Linked DNA regions of Nothobranchius furzeri. The protein of the gene in region 2 purifies or fractionates together with the protein of the main gene of each other region. This does not show direct contact. Links are inferred from orthologs where the notes say so. Each region holds a gene or a part of one and is shown on either strand. Other genes may lie near its edges.

Region 1 (8,034 bases), on a different chromosome or scaffold from region 2:
CACTTCCGGGTCACGACGGTTTTTTTGACATTCAGTGAGACCCAAACCTGGGTCGTGATGGTTCAGCTTTTATTCTGAAAGGAACCGTTGCAGCAGTTGGAACAGCAACAGATTTTTTCCAGCTTGTCGTTGGTTCTTTTGGCTGAAGAGGAAAGTTACGGATTGGCCACTCCGACAACTTCTCTAGAACGCTTTGAACTGTCGTTAAAGATGACGTGGGCATAGTTTTATATTTCGTATGTTTTGGTTTATGGTCGAATGAAAAGATGACAGATTTACCAAACACCACCAAAACCACGCCTCCGTCAGATCTGGCAGATTCTGATTGGATCAGTGAAGCAATGTGTCATGTCTTAACGCTACGTGAGATCAGTCCTAGTGATAGAGTTCTTTGATTTATTAAAAGGAGAGAGTCCTTTCTTCATTCTTCTCTTGAGCTGGAAAGAAGCAGTTTAGAAGCAAATGCATGAGACCTTGAGGCCATATCTCATGCAGACTAGTTCTGTGTCAGAGGAGAGGGGGAAAATGACTGTTGGTGGAAAACAGTCATTTCATTCCGTTACAATAGGAAAGAGGGAAATCACTGGATCCGGAGGAAGGTGGAATAGGTAAGGAGAGTGGTGATGAAGGTCATACAAAAGCCAGCTTGAACAGGTGAGTCTTCAGCTGCTGTTTGAAGGAGACCACTGAGTCCACTGATCTCAGGCTCAGGGGGGAGAGTGTCAGGGCTGGTATGAAGGACTGGACTCAGATGCAGAGTTTGGCAAAACAAGGCTTTTATTTAGGCAAAGGCTTCTTTAACCAAGGATCAAAAAATGATCAAAAAACAAACAGAGTCAAAGGGCCCAGAGATCAGTTAATGCCCGGCTGGAACAAGAGAATGAAAACTAACAAACTGGCAACTGAAAGAGAACAGAAGCTGGTTAAATACACACAAGAACAGCTGGGAGAAATCAGAGTGATGAGGAACAGGGAACAGAACAGAAACAGGAGATTTGACACCAAAATAAAACAGGAAGTGGGATGGATGAACAGGTCTCACGGCAGGGCGTGACAGAGAGAGGTCCAGAGTCTGGGGGCCACAGCGACAAATGATCTCCTCCAGGTGGAGTTTCTTTCCATTGGCTGCAACAAACATACAACACCTCTGCACTTGGGAGCAAAGTATCTCAAAACAGGTCAAAAGAATTTCTATTAGTCAGCTATAAGCTTATGCTGATGCTGTTGTAAGTAGCAGCTGCAGTGTCCCTGGTTTTAAAGGTGACTAGAATGGAAGCAAATCATCTTCCAAGTCCCTCCGGCAACTATTATTGTAAAAATTAACTAGAAAATGAGGTCCTCTCCACTGGCGTCTCTTAGTATACGTTGTTCCATCTCTCTGAGGTCTGACGCTTTTCCCAAAGCACTCATGGGTGACCTGGTCCTTTTGCAGCAGTCCCCTTCCCAACTGTAGTCATAAAAGGGAGATTTTAACCCCTCTGCATCCACACTGCCAAAGAGCCTGAGCAGTGTTGTGTTTAGCCAATCACAGCACTGTATCGATTTAGTAGGCGGGGTGATGTGACAGAGAGAAACAAGATGGCGACGGCTCGTTTGAAACGGCTTGGACATCAACAGTGGACTGTTTAGACTTGGGCTTTTCTTTGAGTTAAGAGCAGATAGAGGTCCTTTAGTCCTTTATCATCATCATCATCATCATCATCATCATCATCATCATCATTTATTTCCAACATGCCAATAACACCACAATTAACAACAGGATATAAATCAATAATAAATCAAGTTGACATTGTTGTAGGCATGTTTGAAAGGGAGTGGGCGGAAGCCAAGCTAATTCAAGCCCACCGCTATTTTTCACTAACAGTTTAACATTCAATATGTAGCATTAACTCAAATTCAACAACCTTGTGACCAAAGAAAATCATAATCATAACAATAATAATAATGACAATTTAACAATTCTTGTCATTATCATTAATTACATATTCCCATACACCTTTACTCACATCATCATCCATTCTCATTTGTAATGTATTTTAACCAAACTGTTCTTCTGTAGTGTGCTTTAAAAATCTAAATATTTTGACGTTGTTTGTGATCAATCTTTAAGTTATTCCATATTTTTATCCCACACACAGACACACAAAAGCTTTTACGTGTTGTTCGCATATATATAAATATTTTATCTCTCCTCAGGCTATGTGACAGCTTTTTAATTATAAATAGCTTTTGTAAATTATTTGGTAGAAGTTTATTAAGTGCTTTGAAGAGAATTTGAACTGTTTGATATTTAATTATATCCTGTAATTTTAATTATTTTGATTGTAAAAACATGTCGTTATTTAGGAAAAAGGATGCAAATGTCTTCTTTGGCAGTGTATGGTAGACTGTCGCATTGACTGACATCTGTAGAAGTGAGTGTGTCACGTTGTTCGTTGTCTAATAGCATGCAGAGACACGACTGAGCTCTATGACAGTGAACGCAGCATCACTAGGCCCTGTAATTCAGTTCAATCCTCATGGAGGGGGCCATCAGCTAGCACACTGCTGCTAACCATGTAAACATTCTCCTTCTCCTGATAATAACATTTTACTTTCTTTGACATTGAATGTGCTACTACTAGTTTACCTGTTTAATTATAGATTCACTAGGATAAATGCAATAAAGTTTATCTCTCACCAAATAGAATATTTACTAAGAAATCACAATGTAACCATAGACCATGGGTGGGGAACTCTGGTCCATCGAGGGCCACTATCCAGCATATTTTAGTTTCAACCCTGATTTCAATCAGCAGGTGATTAACAGGCTTCTGCAGAGCCTGATGAGCTGCAGAACAGGTGAATCAACCACTGAATCAGAAGTGTTGGAGCAAAGACGTGCAGGATACCGGCCCTCGAGGATCAGAGTTCCCCACTCCTGCCATAGACACATTACTTGGTATATGTTTTGTGTGTGTGTGTGTGTGTGTGTGTGTGTGTGTGTGTGTGTGTGTGTGTGTGTGTGTGTGTGTGTGTGTGTGTGTGTGTGTGTGTGTCTGCTCTGTCTTCTCCATACCCAGTGAGTCGTGGTGGATGGCTGCTTATACTGAGCCAGGATCCTCTGGAGGTCTCTTCCTGTTAAAAGGGAGTTTTCCTCTCCACTGTCGCTAAATGCTTGCTTAGTATGAGGATTGCTGTAAAGACTCTGACACTAGTCAGTGACTTGATGCAATTTGCTGGGTTCCTTATATAGGAAACTTGTTACTGATTGGCTTAATGAACTGACCTGTATAGGAATGTTTACTATGTGAAGTGCCTTGAGACGACTCCTGTCGTGATTTGGCGCTTTATAAATAAACTGAATTGAAAATTGAACAAAATAAAAAAATAAAAAAGTCAGTCGTGGCCATCCTATGTATTCACATATAGGACAGGATTGCCTGGCTAGTTCTACACATTTTGGTGATTTAAAAAAAAGTAAGTTTCATATGAACTTGTTCCTTCTGCAGAGTTCATTGTAATTAAATAAACTTCGTCAATAATGAGCTGCTTTTCTTCCTAAGGAGGTAGAACCACTGGTTACCACAGCAGGACTCTAGGGCAGGACCTAGCATGCTAACTGCTGATGTGCAGAGCTGCATTCATTTCTGTTAATTAAACAGACGTTTGTATGGCTTTGTAGCTTTTATTAGCTAAACTAGCTAGCTCAGCTTACATAAGTACACAAAAAAAATTCTAAAAGGCAAATATCTTCCCTTCTATATGGTTGATACTCCTCCTAACTCCTCCCCATCCATCTCCCCCTCCTCCCCCCAGAGGCCTCCCCAGATGCTGCTGGGACCATCCTGGGCAGTGGCGACCCCGGAAGTCCGTCTGATGATGAGGAGCTTCCTCACCCCTCCTCGTCATCTCATGCCACATACGGACCATCTCCCACCGGTTCTGATGACGGCCCCTTGGCAATGAATGGTCTTTGTTGCTATGGTGATGACAGTGTGTGGCACGAACCCGGTCAGATGGTAGACAGCAATCTACATCCCGTGGTCCTGGGGGGCCACACTCATCGACAGGTCTCGCTCAACGATTACCTGGATGCCCTTGAAGCTCCCATGAGTCCCGGGGAGCGACCGTCGATGGGGCCTTTACCAAAACTCCGCTCCAGCTTTCCGACCGACACGCGGCTCAACGCCATGCTGCACATCGACTCAGATGAGGATGAAGATGCGGCCGGGCAGCACAGGGACCAAACTGATGCGTCGAGAACAGAGCAGAGCACCAACCCTTCTAGAACAGCTCCAGTTGTGTCTGGAGAGCAGAGCGAGGGTCCAACGGAGGAGGCTGGAGCTGAGGCAGGTTCCTCTGCTGGTGCTCAGCCTGCGGAGGCAGAAAATGGAGGAATCAATGAAGCGGAGAGTGGAAGTTCAGTAGCATCGGTAACCGGGGCTGAGGAGGCTGCTGGAGCATCAGCCGAGGTGGTGCAGGTCTCTGCGGATACCTCCACAGCTTCCACCTCACCTCAGGCCTTGGGGGCTCAGGCAGCTGCAGCAGAACCACAAGAGGAGTCTGGTTTGGCATGTTCCTGTCAGGAGCAGAGCAGCAGGATGGGGCCCTGCAACCCCCAACCTGGTCCTCTTTCACCCATTCAGGTAAGCTTCTGAGCAAAGACACAGACTCATTTGGTCAGATAAGGAGTCAGTGTGCTAGGTCATCTTGGGTAAAAGCTGCTGTTTTATGAACAGCCTCCCGCCGCACCTTTTCTTTTTCTCAGGAGGTTGATGCAAGGAAGGAACTGGCTCCAAAGGCGGAGGAGGAGGGGGCTGAGTCATCGAGCAGTGAAGCAAATGGGCCAGTTGGCGCATCTGCACCAATCAGCAGCTCCGCTGGTGGAGGAGAGGCAGGTAGGTGGTGTTGCACAACTCTAACGTTAAAGTTACCAGTAACCCCAGGAGTGGACATCCCAGCAAGCTCAGCTTCAGTCTTAGACTCTACCGGCCTGTTGTTGGCAGGTTTAAAGCTTAGTGTCCCCCTACACAGCCTATAGTAACAAGAGAGCCATGAAAACCGCCAATGTGAAGATGATAAAAGGCTCTTGAGCAAGGGTTCTCCCTCACCTTCCCCAAGATCTGTACAGGAGGCTGTAATGGCAAGGATCTTTTTTCATATAATCACTCTACAGGGGAACTGACACTATGTGTTGTGACTAATAGCCAGGCAATATTTAATTTTTATTTCCACTCTTCTAAAGTCATCTCTAAAACATCTTATGAGGGGGGGGGGGGGGGGGGGTGTAGAAACGTCTTCAAAAAGACACCATAAACATTGTTTTTATTTAAAGGCGTGAGGGCTGAAGGTGGCAGTGAGGAAGGGGAGGACAAAGGAGGGGAGGTGTGGAGGAGGCAGTCCATGCAGGCCTCTGGGGGTCTGGCTCAGAACCAGGAGCAGCCCGGGGCCAGAGTGAGGGAGAGCAGGACAGGTGAGATCGTATAAGCTGACGGTTTCCTCCTGAGGACATTCAGATGGTCTGTCAGGGTTGTGCCCACCAGTGGGTCAGCGAGTGTTCATTAATGACTGGAGCGTCATTCAGAGAGCAAGTTTTCCTAAATGAGTCTGTGGGGAGAAGCGTAGAGCTGAGGGATGACTTCAGGCTGCAGGGCGGTGAACCAGACGTGTTTCATCTGTGCTGGAGCAAAACAGTAGCATAACTGTATCATCTACACAGAGACATGATGGTTATGGTTTTCTTCAGGTGTCACAGCGCAGGTCAATGGTCACCCGTCTGTTAGATCTCTGCCGTCGGTTCGTCACGACATCAGTCGCTACCAGAGAGTAGATGAGCCGCTGCCGCCTAGTAAGTGTGCCGCCATGTTTGTGGATCCCTAACCTCATGTGTGAACATCCATCAGCCATACTTTGGTACTACATGGTCATGCTCCCATCTGCTAGAGCCAGAAGTACACACTCGAATGACCAGAATCTGTTTCTTTAGCAGAGTTGTTTATTAACAATACTAGAACGCCCCTTTCATTCTTTCTATTAGAATATTTCCTTTTTAACGTTTTAGTCAAATGTTTATAGCCCACAAGGAGCTTCAGCTTGGCCTTTGTGTCTAAAAGTTTGGACCCCCCTGGGCCAGAGCCTCCAGGTCATTAAAGAGCAAGTCACCCTCTACCAGAGTCTTACTCCACTCCCACTTCCTGTTTTAAAAATGCAACAAATGCTGTTGCCTGGCAGGAGCTGTTAACAAACACACACACACAGGCTCACAACGGCATTGTGACATCATATGGTACCAGCTGATATCATAGGATACCTCTTAGCCAGTAGCGATGGCAGATTTAAATTCAAATGCGGTGCAGAGTTTTTACCTGATGATGGCGCAACACGACAGTTTTAGGTAGAATATTTAAATTTTAACTAAGATGTGCTAAAATGCCAAATTATTGACTACACGTGTCTGCAGCACGATCAGACACTCATTTATATAGTTTATTGGCAAGAAACGTTGATTAGGGGGTGATTTGCCCTTTAAAAGCCACAGTTTATGTTGTTGTTCAACAAAAGCCTTTAGGATTCAGAATAATACAAACTGGGTGGGAAAGTGTGAAGGAACCCAGAAAGATAAACGAACAGACACGATTTACCCATAAAAATATACTCATATTAAATAAATACAGTAGGCTCCCAAAGTGTGGAGGACCCAGAGACATGCTGCGTCCTGCGTTCTCCTCCAGGCTGATGTGAGATCAACTGTGAAAACTTTACATTTATTTCCCGTCTTTAAAAAAACAAACAGCTGAAAGCTAAATCAAAAAGCTTGTTTTGATAAATGAAAGAAAGTCCAGGTCCATCAGAAGCCGAGAACGTGCTGTCTGTTAGTTTTCACCCGTGGGCCTCCTCCTCATCCAGACTGGGAGGCTCGCATCGACAGCCACGGTCGCATCTTCTACGTGGACCACGTCAACAGAACCACCACATGGCAGCGACCCACCGCGCCCCCCGCCCCGCAGACCCTACAGAGGTCCAGCTCCATACAACAGATGGAACAGCTGAACCGCAGGTCAGAACACACACACACACACACACACACACACACACACACACACACACACACACACACACACACACACACACACACACACACACACACACACACACACACATTATCGTCTTGCCTCCATTGCGAGGACTGTCATTAACTTCCATTTATTTTGGTGACTGAATTACGCCTAACCATAACCATTACCAGTCTATTCCTGACCCTAACATTAACTAAAGCTTTCTTCACACCATTCCTCTACATTGTACCAAATTGAAGACCAAGCAAAATGTCCTCACAAGTGTAAAGTACATCACTGGTTCTCAGAATGATGTATAGAGTGCACACACACACACTGGTTTCCATCCACCTGGATTATAGTGATTCCTGAATACCCTCCCACACCTGTCCAGGTATCAGAGCATACGTAGGACGATAACCAATGACAACAGACTGGAGGAGCCGCCGGCCACAGAGTTGCCGGGGGACGAGACGGACATGCACCCCTCTGTTCCAGGTACCCCACCCCCATCTGTCCAGTCAGACCAATAAAACATGGGTTTATCATCTCTTTACTGTCTAATGTATGTGTGTGTGTGTTAGAACTCCGTAGGGACAACAGTACAACTCAGTCCCCCTCCAGGTCTCGTATCTCACTCCTGCTCCAGTCCCCCAGCGCCAAGTTCCTCACCAGCTCCGACTTCTTCACTGTGCTGCATTCCAACCCTGTAAGGTCTCATGCTCCTCTGCAGCTTGTCATCTTTGATATTTATATATATATATATATATATATATATATATATATATATATATATATATATATCAATTCAAGTTTATTTATAAAGCGCCAAATCACTGCAAGAGTCGTCTCAAGGCACTTCACTTAGTAAATATTCTATTTGGTGAGAGATAAACTTTATTGTATTTATCCTAGTGGATCAAAAATTAAACGGGTAAACTAGTAGTAGCACATTCAATGTCAAAGAAAGTTAATTGTTATTTTCAGGAGAGGGAGA
Region 2 (8,034 bases):
GGGTAACTGCTAATAAGAGCAGTAGTTGTTGCTATGACCATAAAATAAAAGTATCATTGAAACAGCATTTTGCCTCAGTGCAGTATTTGTGTCAGTGTACTTTCTATAAGTTACACATTGAGCAGGACTGTGTTGTATTAACTGGCGTGGATTACATGCTCCAGTGGCCCCCTCTTTGGTTGATTTGCATTTACAACAGGTTTCATGCATCATGGTGCATTTTCCAACCTGCAATGCACAGGATCAGTAAAACTGAAGAGCATATTCAACAGAAGGTCCTGTAAACTCACATATTTGAACACAAGTTGTTCCCAAAGATGCAAGATGCATGCTGCTGGAGAACTCCTCTCCTTATCAGACTTCAGTGAGTCTTTTTATATTCACCTGCACGAGACGATGGCTGACCTCCATGGGCTGTTTCAGCAAACAGACAGAAGCTCGTTTCAGGAGTTCTGTTGTCTTTCTGTTCTCATCTTAAACACAAAGCAGCAACGTTTCAACATTGACCTTATTTTGCTGACAGTTTCGGCTTCTCACAGTGCCGTCAGAGCTTCGCCAAGGCCATCGGTGCTTCACATTAGTGAAGCTGCCAAAGTTGTTAGCAAGACAAGGTAAAAACAAAAACTTTGCTACTCTGTTGTTACGTACAGTACCACTTTTCAGCCACAAGATGGCCTCAGTGGCTTTGCCTCGCCTGTCTCCCGGTGTAACAGGTGTTTGTAATCGCTCCAATCAGGGAGCAGCTGTTAAAGGCTGCTCTCCTCCCTCAGTCAGTGAGAAGGTACAGGGAAGCTTGGGCACGAAGGTGTTCAGGTTTCTCTCTTCTCCTCGAGTGCTTGTGTGTGTGTTGCTTCGTGGTACTTTGGTGATTTTGTGGTTTACTCTCGATAATTAGGATTTCTGGTAACTCTGACTTTGGACTGGCCTTTGACTCCCCCTTTTGGATTTCTCCTGAGCGTCTCTGCTTAACAGGACGTCTCTTGTTTAGTATTTGTATTTTTTTTTTAATTTAGTGTTTTACTAATAGTAAATATTTCAGTTAGATATTTTTCTCCTCCCAGCCCTTTTGGCTTGGCGCTTTTTGTTAACCCTTTTTCCCTTTTATAGGCACTTTGTGTTTAATAAAAATCCTTTGTTTGAGACAAAAATACTCTTATTATTATAAACTTATTATTTACCTACACACAACATCTCTTACTCCCTCTACCACATCTCTCCTAGCGACCAGAGGGACGTAACAAGATAAGAACAGAAAAACAACGCAACTAGAAAAGAAACGGAAAGAAGGTAACAAGGGGTATTTCTCAATGCCAAGGAACCTCGCCTTGATGCCTTGGCCCCGCCCCGGTTGCCAAGGAGATACGTCATCAGGAGCCGCCAACACGTGTTCCAATTTTCATGTTCTACCGTGGCGTGTGTTCTCAGTTTGTTAGCCGTTTAGCTAGCTGAGCGAGGATACACGGGAGGTGTCTTGTAGCCTAGCCTTGGTCAAAAATTACTCAGAATACACTGCGGTATTTTCAAAAGGACGGCGGATCAGAAGCCGGCAGCTACTTCGGGGACAATTTTCAAGTTTAAAAGTAAGTCAGCTAATTTAAAATGTTTTTTTTTAGATCCAAAGAAGTTATCTATGGTTGGTTAGTAGCTTAGTAGTTGCAGCTGCGGTGGCTAGCGGGTAGTAACTCACTTATATTTATTACTTAATAAACATATACACAATTTAAAAAGTAAAACAAGAAGACGAAAATATCATTTCTATAGCGACTCTCAAGATACAAATCACGAGGCCCTTCACAAAAACAAAAAATGTAAAAAATATTTATAAAACGCTTAAAAATATATTTAAAGTTAGCAACAATAGATAATTGTGATTAAAAATGTTAAGAAAGAGAGAGAGTGGACAGGAAAGAGGGAAATCAGTGGATCCTGAGGAAGGTGGAATAGGTGGGGAGAGCAGAATAAAGAGAGAGAGGTGAAGAAGGTCATACAAAAGCCAGCTTGAACAAGTGAGTCTTCAGCTGCTTTTTAAAGGAGACCACTGAGACCACTGATCTCAGGCTCAGGGGGAGAGAGGTCCAGAGTCTGGGGGCCACAGCAGCAGATGATCTGTCACCTTTGACCTTTAGCCTGGTGCTGCACAACCAGTAGGCTTTGGTCACTGGACCTCAGGGACCTGCTGGGGGTGTAGGGACTAAGAAGATCACCAATGTAAGATGGTGCTTGTCCATGTAAGGCCCTATAGACCAGAACCAGGATCTTGAAATGAACCCTGAAGTTGACTGGCAGCCAGTGAAGCTGGAGGAGAAGCGGGGTGATGTGGGTGTGTTTGGAGGACTTGGTCAGAAGCCGAGCACAGGCGTTCTGAACCACCTGTAGACGGTTCAAGGAGGTTCTGCTCAGACACGTGAAAAGAGAGTTAAAGTAGTCTAAGCGTGAGGAGATGAAGGTGTGGAGAACTGTCTCAAGTTCAGAGCGGGACAGAATGGGACTCAGCTTAGCAATGTTCCTGAGATGGAAGAAGGAAGAGCCAACAAGAGAACTGACATGAGAATCCAGGGTGAGAGCTGGGTCAAAGGTCACGCCAAGATTCCTGACAGAAGGTTTGGTGTGGGAAGCAAGCTGACCAAGAGAGTCTCTGACTTTGGGAACCAGCTTGTCTGGGGCACAGATGAGGATCTCAGTCTTATCTTCATTCAGCTGTAGAAAGCTCCCACCATCCAGGTTTTGATAGAGTCTAAGCAGGTGTGTAACAGCTGCAGCTTAGACATCTCATGGGGCTTAAAGGAGATGTACAGTTGGATGTCATCTGCATAAAGATGGTAGGAGATTCCTTTGAAGGAGCTCAGGATGTGCTGAAGAGGAAGCAGATAGAGGAGGAAGAGCAGAGGCCCCAGCACAGAACCTTGTGGGACACCATGGGTAAGAGAGGTGGTGGAGGACCTAAACTTGGAGACGGCCACAGAAAAGGAGCGCTCAGAGAGATAAGAGGAGAACCACTCCAGAGCAGATCCTGACAGGCCTACCCAGTCTCTCAGCCTCTCCAGTAGCAGGTGATGGTCAACAGTGTCAAAGGCTGCAGTCAGGTCCAGCAGGACCAGAACAGAACAGTCCCCTGCATCACTGTGGGTCAGAAGGTCATTAGAGACCCTAAGAAGAGCTGTTTCAGTAGAATGAGCTCTACGAAAACCTGACTGGAAGCTATCATAGATGTTATGTTCATCAAGAGCAGCTGTGAGTTGTTTAGCCACAACCTTTTCCAAGATCTTGGAGATGAACGGAAGTTTAGAGATGGGTCTGAAGCTGCTATGGAGAGAGGGGTCAAGACTCGGTTTTTTAAGAAGCAGGTGGATTACAGCGTTCTTAAAGTAAGCAGGGACCTGACCAGAAACCAGAGAAGCATTAATTATAGAGAGCACGCTGGGACCGATGGACTGAAAAACACTTTTAAACAAAGATGAGGGTAAGATGTGGAGGGGGCATGCAGAGGTCTTCATAGAGTTAACTAGTTTGGTTAACTCAGGCAAAAAAAACAGGAGCAAAGCTATCTAGGATGATGGGCCTGGTTGGAGTCGGGAGAGGCGGCGATAAGGCTGAAGGAGAGATGCTAGATCTAACCTTATTGACTTTGTCCACAAAGAAATACAGAAAGTTCTTACAGTCTGCAACAGAGTGGATGGAGGCTGTAGGAGAGGCAGGAGAGATGATGCTGCTGATGGTGTTAAACAGCACCTTGGGGTTCCCTTTGCTCTGGGACACCATGTTGGAGAAATAGGAAACCCTAGCGTCTCTGACTGCAGAGTTAAAGGACGTCAGAAGATCCTTTAGGTGCAGCAGATGGACGTGGAGATGGGTTTTCTTCCACAAACGCTCCATTTTTCTGCATTAGCGCTTCAGGCTGCGAAGGCTGTCATTAAACCAGGGAGTAGGGTTCACTGCAGGACCTGATCTGGTTCTGACAGGACAGATGTTGTCCAGAATGGAGAGGCAGTGCTCGTTGAACTGAGAAGTTAAGGAATCTGGGTCGTTATCAGAAGAACAGGGTGGATCAGAAGCAGCAGAAAAATTGCTAGCTGTGCTCTCATTAAGAAAACGAGAACTAACCAGACGGCGAGCAGGAGGTGGGGACGCAGAAACTGACAAGTTAAAGAAAATGCAATGGTGATCTGAAAGGCTCGTTATATATTTATATTGAAACTAATACGTATAAAATATAATGTTGTCTCCCGTGTCACGTGACGTTACGTGACAGCCGTGGAAGCCGCGGTCACATGATGCAAGTCTGTTCCATTTAACCGTTTTCTTTGACCAAGGAAGGACCGTGTCCTCGTAAGCCAGGCGCCTGGACATTGAGAAACACCCCATGGACTTTCAGGAGTTGTTTAAAACCAAAGATTAGTTCTGAGGAGACATTTTTACAGAGCAGGTTTGCCGTGTTTGCTTCAGTTGTTCACTTCCCTGGTAAATCTATGACCTAACAACAGCAAATGTTTGCTTTGCTCACTCACATCCCATAAAGGACGGCTCTGTCCTCAGTGTGGACAGAAACAAGAGAAAGCTAAAGCTAGAGTTTACCTCCGGGCTCTAAAGTAGCCGTGACAATGCAGACCCTTTAAACATGGAGGTTTCGAATCCCAGTGAGACTCGAATTACCTTTATCAGCTACTGACAGAGTGCTGTTGAAGTACTGCTCCTCCAGAGTCCACGAGGAGTCGTTCATTTTGGTGGAGATCCCACATGAGCCCTGGCAGAACACCTTGATGGCTGTGGAGAGAACAGGAAGTCGTTTAATCTTAATGAAAAACTAGCGCTCTTCATGTGTTCTTTACACAGAACTGGACGAATACGGCCAGAATTGAGGACAATATAGCATTCGTATTTAAATGGGAAAACCAATTAGTCTGTACACCCTGACCAGCATGAGAACGGAGCAAAAAGGGCATTTAAATTGGTTTGTGTTCGCCGAGCAGCAATAATACCAGGGTGTGAACAGAGTTTTAGTGAGTCAACAGCGAGCTGCATGGAGAGTGTAAATAAAACGTTGGTAGCGCTGGATTCTCCGACTCATTATCCAGACGACGAGATAAACAGCCTTCTCTTCAGAGTGAAAAACACTTTTATGAAGAATTTCAGGAGTGAACAAAAAGTTTCTACATTAATGTGAATTATTATGATAGAATTAACCAGAAATCAGTGGAAATGTTCATGTGTGCTGAGATTCAGGCGCCTCTTCTCTTGTGTGTCGGCGCTTCTTCTTGTTGTCTGTGAGGAAATGACAACTCTGATAACCAACACTAAACATGTGACAGATGCCGGAGGATTAGGCAGAAAGACGGAGCCGTCTGGTCTCACTATCATCTTGTTGTACAGAGCTAGGAGGCAAAGAGAGAGCTAATGTTGTAAACTCTCTCCTGAGAGCCTGAGGTCAGTGGTCTCCTTTAAAAAGGAGCTGAAAACTCACCTGTTCTGGTTTGGTGGGACTAGTGTTGTCAAAAAAATCAATACCTAGATATAAATCGATACTAAAGGTGGTATCTAAATTACATATTCCATCTCTATGGTATCTATATTATGGAGTCTCACATATACACAGCCTTCTTCAAGTACACCGACACACACGACAGCCAGATGCCGTAAAGCAGCCTCCGCCTCCCGGACAAACAGAAGAAGAAGACGCCGCATGGCTACATTGTTATTTCCCACGCGAGTTGTCTCCGATCCAAGTTTCGTTAACAATGGCAACAGCGAATTCGGGAGGCGCTTCACAGCCCAACTTAATCGACAACACAAAGAGCAAAAGTGCAGAGTGGAAACACTTTGGATACAAGGCTGATGAGTCGAGGAAAGCAACAGACCATGACAGACCCGTTTGCAAGGAGTGCTACAAAGAGATCGCTACGAAGTCCAGCAGCACAACACATTTGGCCAAGCGTCTGAGAGACCGACACCCCAAACTGCATGATGAAATGAAACAGGTGTCTAAAATTTATTAAATCTAGTAAGAATGTGTCTAATTGCACCAACAAATTTGAGCTCACGTATTAGTATTAGCTAAGCTAGCATACCAAGTCCGACACGTAGTTGTATATTCACGCTTATGTGCTTAAAGGAAACTCCCATTTATTGCAACCCGGTCTTAATTTCTAGCATGCAGTACGTTTGTTTACTCACGCTGACAACTTTGGTGCTACTTGGATTCCCTGGGGTATTTAGATCCATCGGCGAATCGCCATCAGTGTATATCCATATAACGGGTGCGGACGGGCACCCATGGTGCAGCCTCGACATAAGACATTATCTGCACCAAAACATCTTCATGTCGAAAGGCTTTGTTAGGAATCATTAACATGATTCCCCTGTTCGTTTGGAGCGGGTCTGGGATTTCTAGGCGTAAATAGACTAGCCGCGGCTAATCTAACCGGCGCTTTTAATTACGTCACTGCCGTGCGCCAATCTGTTTTTATTAAGATTACCGGTAGATGTACCTTTGTCCTACTGTGGAGAAATTCGTTTTCTCCCTTTACTGACCAACAGAGTTGTTCAAAAGTAATGAACAAAACATTAGCATTACATCTTATGACAAAAATGCACCTTAAACAGAGTTTAAGCAGCAAAACTGAAGTTCCTCGTGCCTTTAAACACGCTGTTCTACAACCAATCTTGAAAAAACCCGGCCTCGATCCCACCGATTACTCTAATCTACGACCAATTTCCAAATTACCGTTTTTATCTAAGGTCCTTGAGAAAATAGTCTATGCACAGTTGGTGAAACATCTAAATGAATATCAGGTAATGGACACCTGTCAGTCTGGTTTTAGACAACAGCACAGCACTGAAACTGCTCACGTTCGGGTGTTTAATGACATTTTTCTGGCTTTAGATTCAGGTTTCCATGTGGTTCTGGTACTTTTGGATCTATCTGCAGCATTCGACACGATCGATCATGACATTTTGATCACAAGACTTCACACTTGGGCTGGCATTTCAGGCACTGCCCTGGATTGGTTTAGGTCATACTTTTGTAACAGGTCTGCTAGGGTCATGTTGGACGGCTGTTCATCAGAGTCACAGCCTCTACGTTGGGGTGTCCCACAAGGTTCAATTCTCGGCCCGTTACTGTTCAACCTCTATATACTGCCCTTAGGAGCCATTTTCAGAAAGCACGCTGTCTCATACCATCTTTACGCTGACGACTGTCAAATCTACTTTTCATTTAAGCCAACTCAATCAACGAAAGTTCTGTCTGATTGTATCCTCGAGGTCAAGCAATGGCTAGCTGATAACTTCCTCCATCTTAATGACTCCAAAACTGACTTATTCGTTTTCAGTCCTAACAGTATCATGGCAACTCAACAACCTGACCTCAACTATCTCTCACCTAATGTATCCTCTGTAATCTCCAACCTTGGAGTAAAAATGGACCAGGCTCTGAAGATGGATGCCCAGGTCAATACACAGTTAAATCATGTTTTTACCAACTAAGACACATCTCGAAACTAAAGCACATCCTGAGTGTCCGTCTTCTGAAACCTGTGGTCCACACTTTTATCACCTCAAGGCTGGATTACTCTAACTCCTGCTTATATGGCATCAGTAAAGCAGCTCTTTCTAGACTTCAGCTGGTCCAGAATTCAGCAGCTAGGTTGCTGACTGGAGCTGACAGAAGACAACACATTTCTCCAATTCTGAAATCTCTCCACTGGTTGCCCGTGCAGTTCAGGATAAACTTCAAAATTATGCTTCTCACTTACAAATCCTTGAACCATCAAGCTCCTCCATATCTGTGTGAACTGGTCCATTACTACAACCCGCCGCGTGCTCTCAGGTCTGAAGATAAGCTCCTCCTAGCTGTTCCCAATGCACGTTTAAAAAGCCGTGGAGAAAGGGCTTTCTCTGTCTGTGCACCCAAGCTGTGGAACGCATTACCACTGCTAGTGAGGCTAGCACCAACAGCTAGCATTTTTAAATCACGCCTGAAAACTCACTACTTCAACCTAGCTTACACCACATAATTATGAACCTCACTGACATCTGCAC

Evidence for each region.
Region 1: the proteins of arrdc1b (region 2) and hecw2b purify together in Homo sapiens (affinity purification with mass spectrometry; 3 studies listed by BioGRID and IntAct, counting the BioPlex papers as one, with this or other methods). This does not show direct contact. The link is inferred for Nothobranchius furzeri from reciprocal best matches to the Homo sapiens genes ARRDC1 and HECW2.

Annotation. Positions count from the first base shown.
Region 1 is NC_091743.1:81,271,596-81,279,629, forward strand, and holds part of hecw2b (E3 ubiquitin-protein ligase HECW2), read left to right. Parts: intron 1-3,798; coding exon 3,799-4,628; intron 4,629-4,750; coding exon 4,751-4,880; intron 4,881-5,728; coding exon 5,729-5,830; intron 5,831-6,888; coding exon 6,889-7,039; intron 7,040-7,431; coding exon 7,432-7,535; intron 7,536-7,621; coding exon 7,622-7,746; intron 7,747-8,034. UniProt on the Homo sapiens protein: E3 ubiquitin-protein ligase that mediates ubiquitination of TP73. Acts to stabilize TP73 and enhance activation of transcription by TP73. Involved in the regulation of mitotic metaphase/anaphase transition.
Region 2 is NC_091746.1:74,983,919-74,991,952, forward strand, and holds part of arrdc1b (arrestin domain-containing protein 1b), read right to left. Parts: intron 4,762-8,034; coding exon 4,651-4,761; intron 1-4,650. UniProt on the Homo sapiens protein: Functions as an adapter recruiting ubiquitin-protein ligases to their specific substrates. Through an ubiquitination-dependent mechanism plays for instance a role in the incorporation of SLC11A2 into extracellular vesicles.